Arabidopsis thaliana: one gene and its partners. The protein of the gene in region 3 interacts with the protein of the main gene of each other region in a pairwise test. Each region holds a gene or a part of one and is shown on either strand. Other genes may lie near its edges.

The links. Proteins that work in one complex are often made in the same cells at the same time.
Region 1: the proteins of ZR3 (region 3) and ADT4 interact in a two-hybrid assay, tested with the Arabidopsis thaliana proteins (one large-scale study listed by BioGRID).
Region 2: the proteins of ZR3 (region 3) and AT5G51110 interact in a two-hybrid assay, tested with the Arabidopsis thaliana proteins (one large-scale study listed by BioGRID).

The regions. Positions count from the first base shown.
Region 1 is NC_003074.8:16,269,724-16,273,931, reverse strand, and holds ADT4 (arogenate dehydratase 4), read right to left. Parts: upstream 2,422-4,208; 5' UTR 2,174-2,421; coding exon 899-2,173; 3' UTR 519-898; downstream 1-518. UniProt on the Arabidopsis thaliana protein: Converts the prephenate produced from the shikimate-chorismate pathway into phenylalanine.
Region 2 is NC_003076.8:20,776,983-20,781,291, forward strand, and holds AT5G51110 (Transcriptional coactivator/pterin dehydratase), read right to left. Parts: upstream 2,507-4,309; 5' UTR 2,399-2,506; coding exon 2,024-2,398; intron 1,700-2,023; coding exon 1,504-1,699; intron 1,426-1,503; coding exon 1,334-1,425; 3' UTR 1,022-1,333; coding exon of another isoform or gene 650-1,021; 3' UTR 519-649; downstream 1-518. Other genes in the region: AT5G51105 (ECA1 gametogenesis family protein (DUF1278)), read left to right, coding at 650-1,021; PABN1 (polyadenylate-binding protein 1), read left to right, coding at 2,778-2,933, 3,033-3,135, 3,215-3,337, 3,414-3,472, 3,717-3,908, 3,993-4,111, 4,214-4,259. UniProt on the Arabidopsis thaliana protein: Involved in tetrahydrobiopterin biosynthesis. Interacts with and acts downstream of the E3 ubiquitin-protein ligase SDIR1 in abscisic acid (ABA) and salt stress signaling.
Region 3 is NC_003074.8:20,308,316-20,312,372, reverse strand, and holds ZR3 (Zim17-type zinc finger protein), read right to left. Parts: upstream 2,105-4,057; 5' UTR 2,020-2,104; coding exon 1,851-2,019; intron 1,224-1,850; coding exon 721-1,223; 3' UTR 519-720; downstream 1-518. Other genes in the region: AT3G54830 (Transmembrane amino acid transporter family protein), read left to right, coding at 1-18, 91-134, 226-301, 390-472.

The DNA of each region.
Region 1 (4,208 bases), 4.0 Mb from region 3:
CAACATGTAAGTTTCTTGGAAATTATATTGCTAATTTCTTGCGACTCACCTAGAAACCAAACGTTGAACCCTTGAGTTGAGTTCACACGTGACCGGTGACCATAACTTTTTTTTTTTGTATCTACTCGTGAAAACTTCAAGGAAATCTTCACAAAATATTTTAATGATGTTGGAAATTATATCACCAACTACAATAATGGAGACTTGTTTTGTGAATATTATATAAACTTCGAACAAAATCTTTGTATTGTATATTAAATATGATAAGTTGATTTTTATTCACATTCATTTTCATTGGTTTACTTTTTTTTATCATGTAAGCGATTGTTTAATGGTATACATATGTTGTGGTTGAGCTTAGTGAACTTGAGATGAAGTCCTAACAGAAAGTTTTAGTAACAACATTATGCTGATAATTACATAAAAGAATTTGGTCTTAAGCTTTTGATATTGAAGAAAATATTAGGATCATCTCTACTAAAAATATGATTTAATAGAAATTTGTAGTAAAAATACTAATAACGTTGTTAAGATAAACAAAGTTACAAAACTGATCACATTTTTCTAAAAAATATGTGTAAATATATGTCTTTGTTTTTGGTAATGCCAATCATTTTTGCTTTTCTTGGTTAAAATCGAGTGAATTTACCAAAGAAAACCAAGGAACTCAAAAAGATTCTGCGAATAAACCACAATGTTCATAACTATTAAGTAAGAATGTAAGATATATCTGGTAGCTAGTAACAGACAAATAAAATTTTGTTTTCTCCTAATCACCACGTGAATAATGAGCTCTACATTTACGGTTTAATTTCAATGTATACTACAATTTTCACAAAAAAAGAAAGAACAGAATAATTTAATAAATTTATTGGTGAGTTTGTTTTTGGCGATGGGGTCATGCTTCTTCTGTGGATGTCATGGACCATGGTGTCATATCCATGGGGTAACTTCCCAGCACCCTTAGGAACGACGTGTACTCTTGAACCTCCGCAAGCGCGTTCTGTGCACGCGGCTCAGCCATCGATGCCTCAAAATCCACGTAAAACATGTACTCGAAGTTCTTCGACGTCCCAAAGCTCCCGTCACCAACAACCCTAAGCGGGCGGTTATGGTGAGGCCGGGACTCGATCTTGGTCAGGCTAATGTCTCTGAAAGCGAAAGCCGAGAGGACTTTAAAGAGGACGCTAGTTCCTTTGTGCTCTTGGGCAGCAAAGACGATGCTAGTCTTGAATGGCCGGTCCGTGCGTGGGATTATAGGCTCACGCGCCAACATTAGGAAACGAGTGACGTTCCCCGGGTCGTCTTGAATCCCATCCGCTAATATCTGGAGGTTGTAAAGCTCAGCGGCGCGTGCGCTCGCCACAGCCGCCGTGTCATGTAGGTCGTTAGCTGAGATATACTCCGCAGCAGCCGCTGTGTCATGGAAAGCCTCACGCGCTGCATGTGGTGTAAGGACGTCGAGGGAGTGTTCCGTCTGCGCTAGGGCTTGCGGGTGAGAGATCACCCGCGAAACACAGTCAGTTCGGACTCCCGGGAGTGCGAGGAGGCAATGGTGGACCGGAATCTGAACTTCTCCAACGATGTGAAGACGGTGACGGAGAAGAAGATCATAGTTTCGATGGATCGAACCACCGAGTGAGTTCTCCACCGGAAGCACAGCTCGATCAGCGATCCAAAGCTCCACCGCCTGAAAAGCAACGTCAAACTGGTCACAAGGAATGGCGTCGCAATTGGGATAAGCTTTTCCGGCAGCTGCTTCCGAGTAAGCTCCGGGAACGCCTTGGTAAGCTACACGTAGACTAGAACCATGCAACGGTGCCGGAGATAGATCAGTAATAGTCAACGGCTGAGCAGGAGCTAACTTTCCGTTAGTTGACTCAACGGCGACGAGACCAAGATTCACAGAGCCGTTCGTGTGACCATTAACGGCGGCGATTTTGTCCGCTAAACCACCGGTATTTTCAACAGAAGCAACTTTACTAGATAAAATGGCACATGAGCTTTGCCAATCAGATCGACTCACGGAGACACCGTTAGGGAAGCTAAACGACTCCGACCTATAACCGCACGTAACAGCCACGCGCTTTGGAATCGCGTGGGAGAAACATTTGTTCCTAGACGTCGGATCTGTTGATCGGAACTTGAGATCACACGACGTTGCGGCTTGCATGGTTTGGTAATGATGGTAAGACAAACAAAATTTGAGAATAAAAGCTGTATTATAGATTTATAGTGTTGGAAAGCTTGAGTTCTTTCGTTGAGAGAGAAGCTCAAGCTGAGAGATAAAGGAGAAGAGAGATGGTCTTATATACACACTAACACACAAGAATAAATTTTGTTTTGTTTTTGACAAAATTAGTCTTGACGTATGTAATTCGGTAAAATCCTTCACCTACCACCTTCCATGTAATTTCTATACTTTTTTTTCTTTCTGAAAACTATAATAATAGTTGTCTTTATTGAAATATATGATATTGTTGGTTTACGTGAAAGCGATATTCTTCATTTCTTCTTAGTTCTTACCATGGTTTTGTATTGTTGGTGTTACGTCCATAGATTTTTCTACAAATATCAAGATCATTGGTGTTTCTTTTGAGCAGTGGATGGTAAAATTTCTCTTAAAAAGTATTGAATATTCTATTATTATATATACATATGTATATATATATATATAGTTTTTTAATTGTTTGTTTTTCAATTAAAACTTAGTTACCTACTTCAAGAAAAATTAGATAGTTTATCCGCACTATGTGTGGGATAAATATATTATAGTAAATTTTTTATTATTTGAAATCTGAAATTTGCCTGTGTATTATTTAATGTAATATTTTTTTTTTGAACCATCTAGTTTTTGCATTAAAATTATTATTGCCCGTATATTGATTGTTATTAAATATGTATAAATATATTAGTTATTATTTTTATAATTTTCTTATTAAATTAAATTAAAATTATATTTTTAGAATCTTCTGAATATTTATAATTTACTTAAGTGTAATTGATATTATTTTTGGAAAAAACTTTATTTATAAATGTATTGGTAATATCTGATTAGAAAAATGAAAGTAGTACTATATTAATATTTTTGTTAACATATGATTTATGTTTCTATATAAAAACGAAAGTAGTTCTATATTAAGTTCTGAAATATTACTTGCTTAATTATTAGATTATTTTAATTGGAATTTCTTTTTTTAATTATTTACTACTTTTAATTGGATTTACTTTTTATTGTTTCTGTTATTGAGATATTTATATGTACTACTAATGATAAATTTTATAAATGATCTAGTAAATGAGGGACAATGAAGTAAATTGATTGAGAATTGCTCTGACACATCAGCTGGCATTTCTGTAAATACGACTGTAACTAAATTTTGTTTTTTAAGTGTGATTCTCTATTAATAATTTAATATATAGAGGATAAATGAATTCAGAAATTAATAAAAATTTTGATTACGAAAATATATAGTAGGCCCAAAGTTCACTTTCTCATATGTGGAATTTTATATGTCCACGAATAACACGGTTCAGCTCACCTTCTTTTACTTTGACACAATCGCCAAGCTGTGAGAGCATGCGCAGACCATAATGGACACATATATAGTAAATGGTTTTGTATTTATTATGATTTATGAAGTTGTTGGTCATTTTCATTTTTGACGATGTCTATTATTTGTTCGCTTTGGTGAAAATATTTGGTAATTAATTAACAAAGTGAATACTGTTTTACGAAACTCGGAAGGTGATCTATGATCTGTCATTTCGGGAGCATATATTTATATACATGATTTGTATTTGACTGATAACATATTTCAGGATCTTGGATATTGAATCCGTTTCTACTACAAAAAACCGCAAAATTGTGTGTTTTATGCCAAAATCCCTAAATTTGTGATTTTTTTACTTAAACTGTTTTCCAGTAAAAGTCGCAAACTATGTCATCCCGTAAAAAGTAACAAAATCTTGTTTCCGTAAAAAAAAAGTGTAACATTGAATTTTCCGACAGAATCATTATCTTATATTCTTTTCTGAATAATTGCTGAAAATGACCTTTTCACATTATCCTTTTTTAATTATACTCTTTCCTATTTGTCATTTTCATTTCTACCCTCTTTAAATTTTTTAATGACCATTTTACCCCTATTTGGAAATTGTTTTAGGTAAACAAAATGAAATATTAATATTTTTCGCTTAAAATATTC
Region 2 (4,309 bases), on a different chromosome or scaffold from region 3:
ATAAGCTAAATATTTAGAAATCCGAAAATATTATTTTTGGATGGTGTATTTAATATTAAAATATGTTTGGTTTAAAAAATAATAAGGATAAGGATAAGGATAGTGGAATTAATAGTGTTTGACAATGAGTATATTATATTCAATAAATGAAAAATAAAAATGATGAGAACAATTATGGGCTTGCCACATCTTTTACTATATAGAGGATTCCAAAAAGTTGGAAGAAAAACAATTCCTAAATTGAAAAGATTTTTTTCTTTTTCTTGCTATGAATGTAAATAAAATCTCAAAAAAAAAATTAGGAGATGATATATATCAAGATGAATAAAGACGAAAGAGACTTAAAATTTGTTACTGCTTCCCTTCTGTCATCTTTGTATTATTTCCTATCATATTGTTAGGAAAGATTTATTTCTTTACATATGAGAAATATGACAGCATCAAATTCAATGTGCATCAAACGTTTTGACTATTTTTGATTTTCTTCCAAAATTAAAACGACAAATTTGATTTTGAAAGCAACTTTTAAAAATACGTTTCGCCAAACTAATTACAGTATAAATTGGATCTCATAGCCAATAACTTTATCTCATCAAACAAAACTCAAGTCATCTATTTCTCTTGTTGCATAGTCCCCCAAATATTCATCATGTCGATCAAGAGTGTTGTTTCTCTCCTAGTAGTTGTATGCATCGCAGCCTCCGTTAATGCTCAGCTACCGCAGTTTCCCCCAATCATGTTCCCGTTTCCAAATCCGTTCAAACCAAGTCCCGGTATGGCAGGAAGTCCCGACTTGAGCAAATGTTGGTCAACAGTGATGGATTTGCCGGGATGCTTTGAAGAGATTCAACAAGCCGTAATGTCCGGCAAATTTGAAGGCGTTGGTCCTGCTTGTTGTAAAGCTTTCCTTGACGCTGAAGCTAACTGCTTACCAAATCTTCCATCCAACCCGTTTTTCCCTCCTATGATGAAACACCAATGCTCCAAAATGGCTAGTCCTCCAACCACCACCGCCTATTAGAATGCAAAAATGTAGTTGTGTTTTTTCGAATTTTTTGTTAGTCCCAGAATGTTCTAGAAGAAGAAATGATAATAATAATGTCTTAATCTAATAATAATGTCTCATTTCTTATATTGTGCTCCATATGATTGATGTTCTTTCTTCTTTTGATTGATGAATGAATCTCAAAGACATGTTGCGTGATATCTCTTATGCGGTTATGACAATGCTTTCTATATAACTCGACATGTAGACCGATCACACACAATTTAGAATACATCACATACATTACATACTATCAAACAAAAATGTTCCAAAATAATGAAAAGAAGATCACGCCCAAGCTCTTTTCCTAGGGGAAAGATCAGAAGTCTTGATATCATCTATTTTAGCCGCCATTATGAAATCATTCATGCTCAACCCTCCTGCATTATTCATCCAACAAACCGTCTTAAGAAACCATATATTAAAACTCAAACTCGAACATCAAATATTTGACATACCGATAGAAGAGGTAAATAGTTCAGCTCGAACTTGGGTAGGACTTTCCAAGTGAAGAGAAGGGTAATGACCAGAAGCTTCAGCAACCTTATGGATCCTGTTTATGAGTTCAACACCGCACCCAAAATCCCTCACTTTCCACATACACCTTATTTTCAGACCACCCGCTTCATTATCCACTATACTCCATCCCAAAACCTAAAACGTTTACATAATAATCATTGAGATTGATGTACCACATCATTAGAGTGGTAACCGTGAACCAAAACACCAACATGAGCCTTATCAACACTAATCATTTCATTTTTTTTTAATCTCGTAACCATTGTTCCTAATATGTCCCTCATGATACTAAAATTTTCATTGGCTTTTCTATATTTTTGGGTCACAATTCTATCTTTATAGATTAGAAATCTGTTAAACGCAGAATCAATAACATTTTCACAATATTTTGATCAACCAACAAACTTGTAAAATCAAAACTCGAACATTTTTATACTAAGAGAGAAATAGTATAAGTACCTTGTGGAGGAGAGTTCTGGCATCATCGCCGGACAAAGGAGGCTGTGAAGACGAAACAGGGGAACACTGAAGCTGGGAGAGAGACAAAACAGATGCGTTTGGTATCAAAATCTTGTGCTCAGTGCTTTGGCATCCCAACACTTTATCTCCGAATTGACTCGCTATCTCCTCCGGGTAAGGGTCACGAGCTCCGAAGTCACCAAGAAAATCCTGCGCCAGATTAGACCGGGTCACCGTTAACCGGCCGAGTTTACGGTTATTCCTACTTACAGGTGGTAATAAACCGAACACTTTAAGGATTGAGCGAGAAGGTTGACGGAGGAGGAGGGAGGACGCGGAGATGTTACACGGCGGTGATGATGACGTGGCGGCCATCGGGAGCTGTGATTTGCTCTGTACCGAAGATAAGAGTTTTGGTTTTTAGAGAGCGAAACGATTTTCAGACCACTGGACTGAGTTAAATGGGTGAGGTGCCACGTAATCACTAATGACTAATGGGAACCACAATAAACTTTCGTGGGACCGACTTTACACGTCACGTTTTAATCTGAGAAGCCCATTGGGTTTGATTGTACTTTTGTGTCCACTTTTGGTGAATCTACTTAAGATTTCATAATTCCGAAAGTATCCTTTTTGGGTATCTTTAATTACAAACAAACCTTCCCTTCTTTCCCGATTTCAAGCCCTAAAATTCCGAGACTTCTGTTTCTCGCTTTAACGACAGTCGCCGAGTGAGAGATATAGAGAGAGAAAGATGCCGGTGCACGATGAGCAAGAGCATGAGGTGTACGGTGGAGAGATCCCAGAAGAGGAAGAAGGTGAGATGGATACGGAAGAGTACGAAGAACACGGCGGAGAAGAAGGTGCCGCCGCCGGAGATGAGGAGCTTGAACCTGGCTCTAGCTCTAGGGTATTGTGATTCTTCGATCTATAATTTACTTTTATCCAATTGAGACTCTTCTTATTTTTTACTGTATTTAGTCTGTTATTTGCTTTGATTGTTTGATAGGACTTGGAGGATATGAAGAAACGAATTAAGGAGATTGAGGAAGAAGCTGGAGCTTTGCGTGAAATGCAAGCCAAGGCTGAGAAAGATATGGGTGCTAGTCAAGGTTTGTACTTATTAACTGATACGTAAAATCTTGAATCTTTGTGCGCAGCTTCACATTAACCTTTAAATTGATAGATTAGGTTTAAAGCTTGTCTTGTTGATTATGATATTGCTTTGGGTTTACATATTGGAATCTTTTAGTGAATCAATGAATCTGTCTAGAAATTTACTGGAGTTTGAGTATGAGAAGGAAATCATTAATAGTATTGTGGAGTCTTGTCAGTTAGCTAATTGGGTCAATACCTTTTATGTTGTTGCATATCAATGAAGACCCTTCAGGTGGTGTTAGTGCGGCTGAGAAGGAAGAAGTGGATTCGCGTTCAATATATGTTGGCAATGTGAGGCTTGTTCCACCATTAATTTTCACATGTTTCTCATATATGTTTGTATCTTTTTTAAAGAAAGTTTGTGTGTTTTATTGCTTTGGTATCAATGAAATTTGGAGGCTGCTTGTTGTTTATTTCTTTATCTCTAGTAATTGCTAAACTAACTTTCCTTCATATTTCAGAAAGCCTTCATATCTCCCATCTGTGAAGCTGATTCTTTAGATATCCTGTGTCTTTGTTTTTTTGTGTATATTAGGTGGACTATGCATGTACTCCAGAGGAAGTCCAGCAGCATTTTCAATCATGTGGGACAGTGAATAGGGTTACAATTCTGACAGATAAGTTTGGTCAACCTAAAGGTTTTGCGTATGTCGAATTTGTGGAAGTAGAAGCTGTTCAGAATTCGCTTATTTTGAACGAGTCAGAACTACATGGTCGTCAGATAAAGGTGCAAACTCGTTCAATACGATGTAGTTAATTATTTTCCATATTACGATTTGTCATTACTAAACTTTGTTTAATCTATTTTCAGGTATCTGCAAAGAGGACTAATGTACCTGGAATGAGGCAATTTCGAGGAAGAGGGCGTCCCTTTAGACCGATGAGGGGATTCATGCCAGGAGTTCCATTTTATCCTCCATATGCTTATGGGTGTGTTCTAGAACCTTACCTGCCTATCCTCTCTTTTAAAGTCCATTTGTTTGATTCATCATGGTTGTTCATAAAATTGACAATGGTTGATGGTTTGTGCAGGAGAGTTCCCAGGTTCAGACGGCCTATGCGCTACAGACCGTACTGATTAGGCAAATTGGTGTTAAAAAAGTAGCAGCTGCTTCTCCGTTTTCGGGA
Region 3 (4,057 bases):
TTGCGATTCCCTTCTTCGGTAAGGACAAACGAAAAATATACATGTAAAGAAAATAAGTGTCACTTCTTTTGACACTCAGAATTCTTGCAGGCCTTGTCATGTCACTGATTGGATCATTCTTGACAATGCTCATTGTAAGTTACACATTTGTTTCATCCTTTTCTGGTTATGTAAAGCAAATTCTCATATTGCAGTTTCATAGTGAATTTGCTTAGCCTGACAAAGTTTCTGGACACAGACGCTGATACTACCGCCAGCTTGTTTCTTGAGCATCTTAAGGAAAAAAGTAACCCCTACTCAGGTATGGCCTGCTCACTTACTGATAACCAAACCGAATATCGAAATTCCTCAAACTGAAATCGATATAACAATCTGTGGTTTGTTTGCAGGTGACAATCTGTATCTTAATTATGACAGTAGGAGCAGTATGTTCAGTCATTGGCACATATTCAGCCCTTGCAAAGATCATTGAGAAGTTGAACACCTAAAACTGATCAATCTTGAGATTCTTATTTTGTTTCTCTTGAGATTTTGTTTCTGTCTTAAATCAATGGAACATCTCAACCTATATGGAACATTCCAAACACATAATTGTATTAAACATCTTCTGCATTTAAATGTTACCAAACAGTGAACTACAAGAAACAATTATAATACTGGAACATAAGGTGAAGTTCTGTTCCATAATGGTTAAGTAGCAAAAGCAAAGAAGATCACTCCTTATTCAGTAGAAATCTTTCCTCCAGCTAAATCTTCAGGAGTTAGGTTAAGAGAATCCATGGATCCTTTCTTGAATTCTTCCCCTTGAGAAGCAAGGAAGTCCTCCACGCTTCCTGGTTCTCCAAACCAACCACGACGGTCTGCAATCAAATGTAGATTATCACACCCTCCACATCGTACCACCACAACGCCGTTTTCATATGATTCTCGGCTCGCCATCTTCATAGATCTTGTATCACAGACCTTGCAAGTGAAGACCATCATGAAGTCATGCCTCGGGTTTATTTTTAACTGGGACTTGTACTTCACCATCATTTCCTCAGAGGGCGTCGCAGGGGAGGGAACTTTGGCCGATTCAGTAGCAGAGTTTGACGAGTTGCAGACATTGGTTACAGAAGCTTCATTTGCCTCACGGATTACAGATAACTGTCTCTGAAATAATCTTCCATAAACATGACTTCTGCTGAAGAGTGAGTTTGATAGCGACAACTGCTCTGTTGAGACTATTTTCAAAAAAAAAAAGATAATCAAGAAAGATCAATTTAACAGTAGTTGTAGTTGCACGAAGCTAAAACAGTCTGTACCATAACAGGACATCATAGGAACCTCCTAGGATAATGTTTGCATCAAACCGTAGACTAATGCTAACACATCTTAGTCAGGAAATATATAACCAAACTTGAAAACTTAACCAGCGTCTAGCTGAAATGCCAATGTTCACAGCTACTGCTTAATGCATAGAGATATGTTGAAGACAAAGCACTTATGTGAGCATTCATAACTTCAGGTTTCGTAGAAGCACTTCTCTAACTCCAAAATGTAACAGAGCAAAGACGATATTAGATGATATACACATGAGAATACGAGTACTCATCATCACTAATGCCCCAAATCTCTAAAAGCTACAAAAACAACCCTAAAACCAAAATCTCCCCAAAATCCTCTTCTAGTGTAAATTCAAACATAAAAACCACAAATTTACATGAATCTCAACCAAATTCATCAAAAGAAACATCAAGGCAAGTATAAATTACACAGATTAAGAGACCAGTTTAACTCTAGTGCCCGATTTTCAATAACTCTTTAATTTTTCTTAAAGATGACAAAGTTGAGAAGGAGAGAGATGAAACCTTGAGACAAAGGAAAACGATGTTGTTGGTTGCTGAAAAGAGACAAAGCGCGTCTCAAAGCAAGTAACCTAGCGGCCATTGACAACCTGAGGGAGAGGAGGAACTCGACGCTTCTATTTTCCGTGAAATTTTGGAATCGGAGCACAATAAAAGAAGCCTTTTTAATCATTAGAGTTAGTTTTCGTTATGGTCAAGTCAAAATCTAAACCCAGGTTCGAACCACTGAGTGAGCCACAAGTAGACCGACCTTTTTCTTCTTTTTTTTACGTGAGGAAAAAGAAATTTGTGAATTGAAATCTTATCTAGAAAAGAAAAAAGAAAAAAAAAATCAGAACAAGCAGGAGAATAATGTGTGTGATACAGGATATTGAGTAAGGCCACGTGGACGGCTGTGATTAGAAGATCAATGGACGGCTGTGATTCAAATTAAGTGTGCGTAGAGCTGAAGCTAATAAATATCAAGTGTCATCGTATTTTCATGTTATCGTTGAAGTTGTTGTTATTCCTTTCTCTCTGAAAACATTCCGAGATTCATCCTCTGCATAGAACGTCGATTCTTGCGAGGTGAATCCAGAAATCCCTTGTTTTATGAACATTGGATTTCATTTGTTATTTACATCGTAATAATAAGTAATCGGAGTTGTTGATGATTGCTTTGGTTGATTGATTGTGTTGTGGTGTGGTTTTACTGTATTAAAGGTATCAGAGCAAAGACGTTTCTCGGAGATGGTGATCGAGACTCGAGCTCAGGAGTTAGCTCAAGCTCGTCGAGAGAAGGCGTTAGAAGCAGAGGAATCGATGGAGTCACAGATGGAGAAGATCGAGAGCAAGATCGATGCTCAAAATCTGAAGATCGAGCGCCATATCTCGGAGATGTTTGAGGCGATCCACATGCTGTCTCCATCTAAGCAGTCAAATCTGGGTGAGACTCATCAAACAGCTCGTGCTTCATCCGCTTCAGCAACAGACGTGGATTACATGAGAAGGCAAGGTCACGCTAACAATCATTCGGGAGTAACAAGGTTAGGGAAGTTGGATTTTCCCAGATTCAGTGGTGAGAAGGTTAAGGAATGGTTGTTTAAGGTTGATCAATTTTTTGCGGTGGATCCTATACCTGAAGAGATGCGAGTGTCTGTAGTTTCTATTCATTTGGATGGTCTGGCTGCTACTTGGCACCAGAATATGATTGAGGATGAAGTGCAGGTTCCTGAGTGGGGTGTGTACAAAGCTAGGATCAGGGAGAGGTTTGAGATGGTTGGAGAGGATCCTATTGCTGAGCTGAAGAAGTTGCAGGAAACAGCTGCTAGCATTGATGACTATCACGCAAAGTTTGAGGCGATCCGGACTCGAGTAAGGATGACGGAGGATTATTTAGTGAGTGCGTATTTGGTTGGGTTAAGGATTGAGACACAGATGCATATCCGAATGTTTCAACCCCAAACGGTGCGGCAGTGTTTGATGTTGGGACGTCTCTATGAAACTGCTCATCCTGTGCAGAACAATGCGACTTCTTGGAAGAACAATAAGGCTACTTCAAAGGGCCAGTTCTCCTTTAAGAAAGACATGGAGCAGCAGGGCAATAAACCAGCGTTTCAGGAAAAACCAAGAGACACACAACAAAATCAGCCAAGGCGGTTCTTATCTACTGAAGAGATGAGTGCTAGGAGAGCTAAAGGATTGTGTTATTTTTGTGATGAACAATACACATCTGAACATTATAAGATTCACAAGAAAACACAATTGTTTGTTTTGGAAATGGAAGATGCTGAGGAAGTGTTCTTGGATGCAGAAGAAGAGCATAAGGAGTTAGTTGGGGAAGTAGCTCATATCTCAACTCATGCTATGGAGGGTATCTCAACTTACAACACTATGCGAGTTAAGGGTACAAGTCAGAAGAGATCCATTTTTATGTTGGTTGATTCGGGTTCCACTCACAATTTTATGGATCCTCAAATGGCAAAGAAGTTGGGTTGCTCACTCCTACCTAGTGATAATGCAAGAGTACGGGTGGCTGATGGTTACAATCTGAAGGTGATAGCGAGAATACAGAATTTTAAGTGGGAGATTCATAACACGACTTTTGTAGCTGACTTTATGGTAATTCCTTTGAAAGGAATTGATGCAGTTTTGGGTGTACATTGGTTGAAACCTCTAGGTCCTATTACATGGGATTTCACATTGTTGACAATGCAGTTTAAATGGGATAA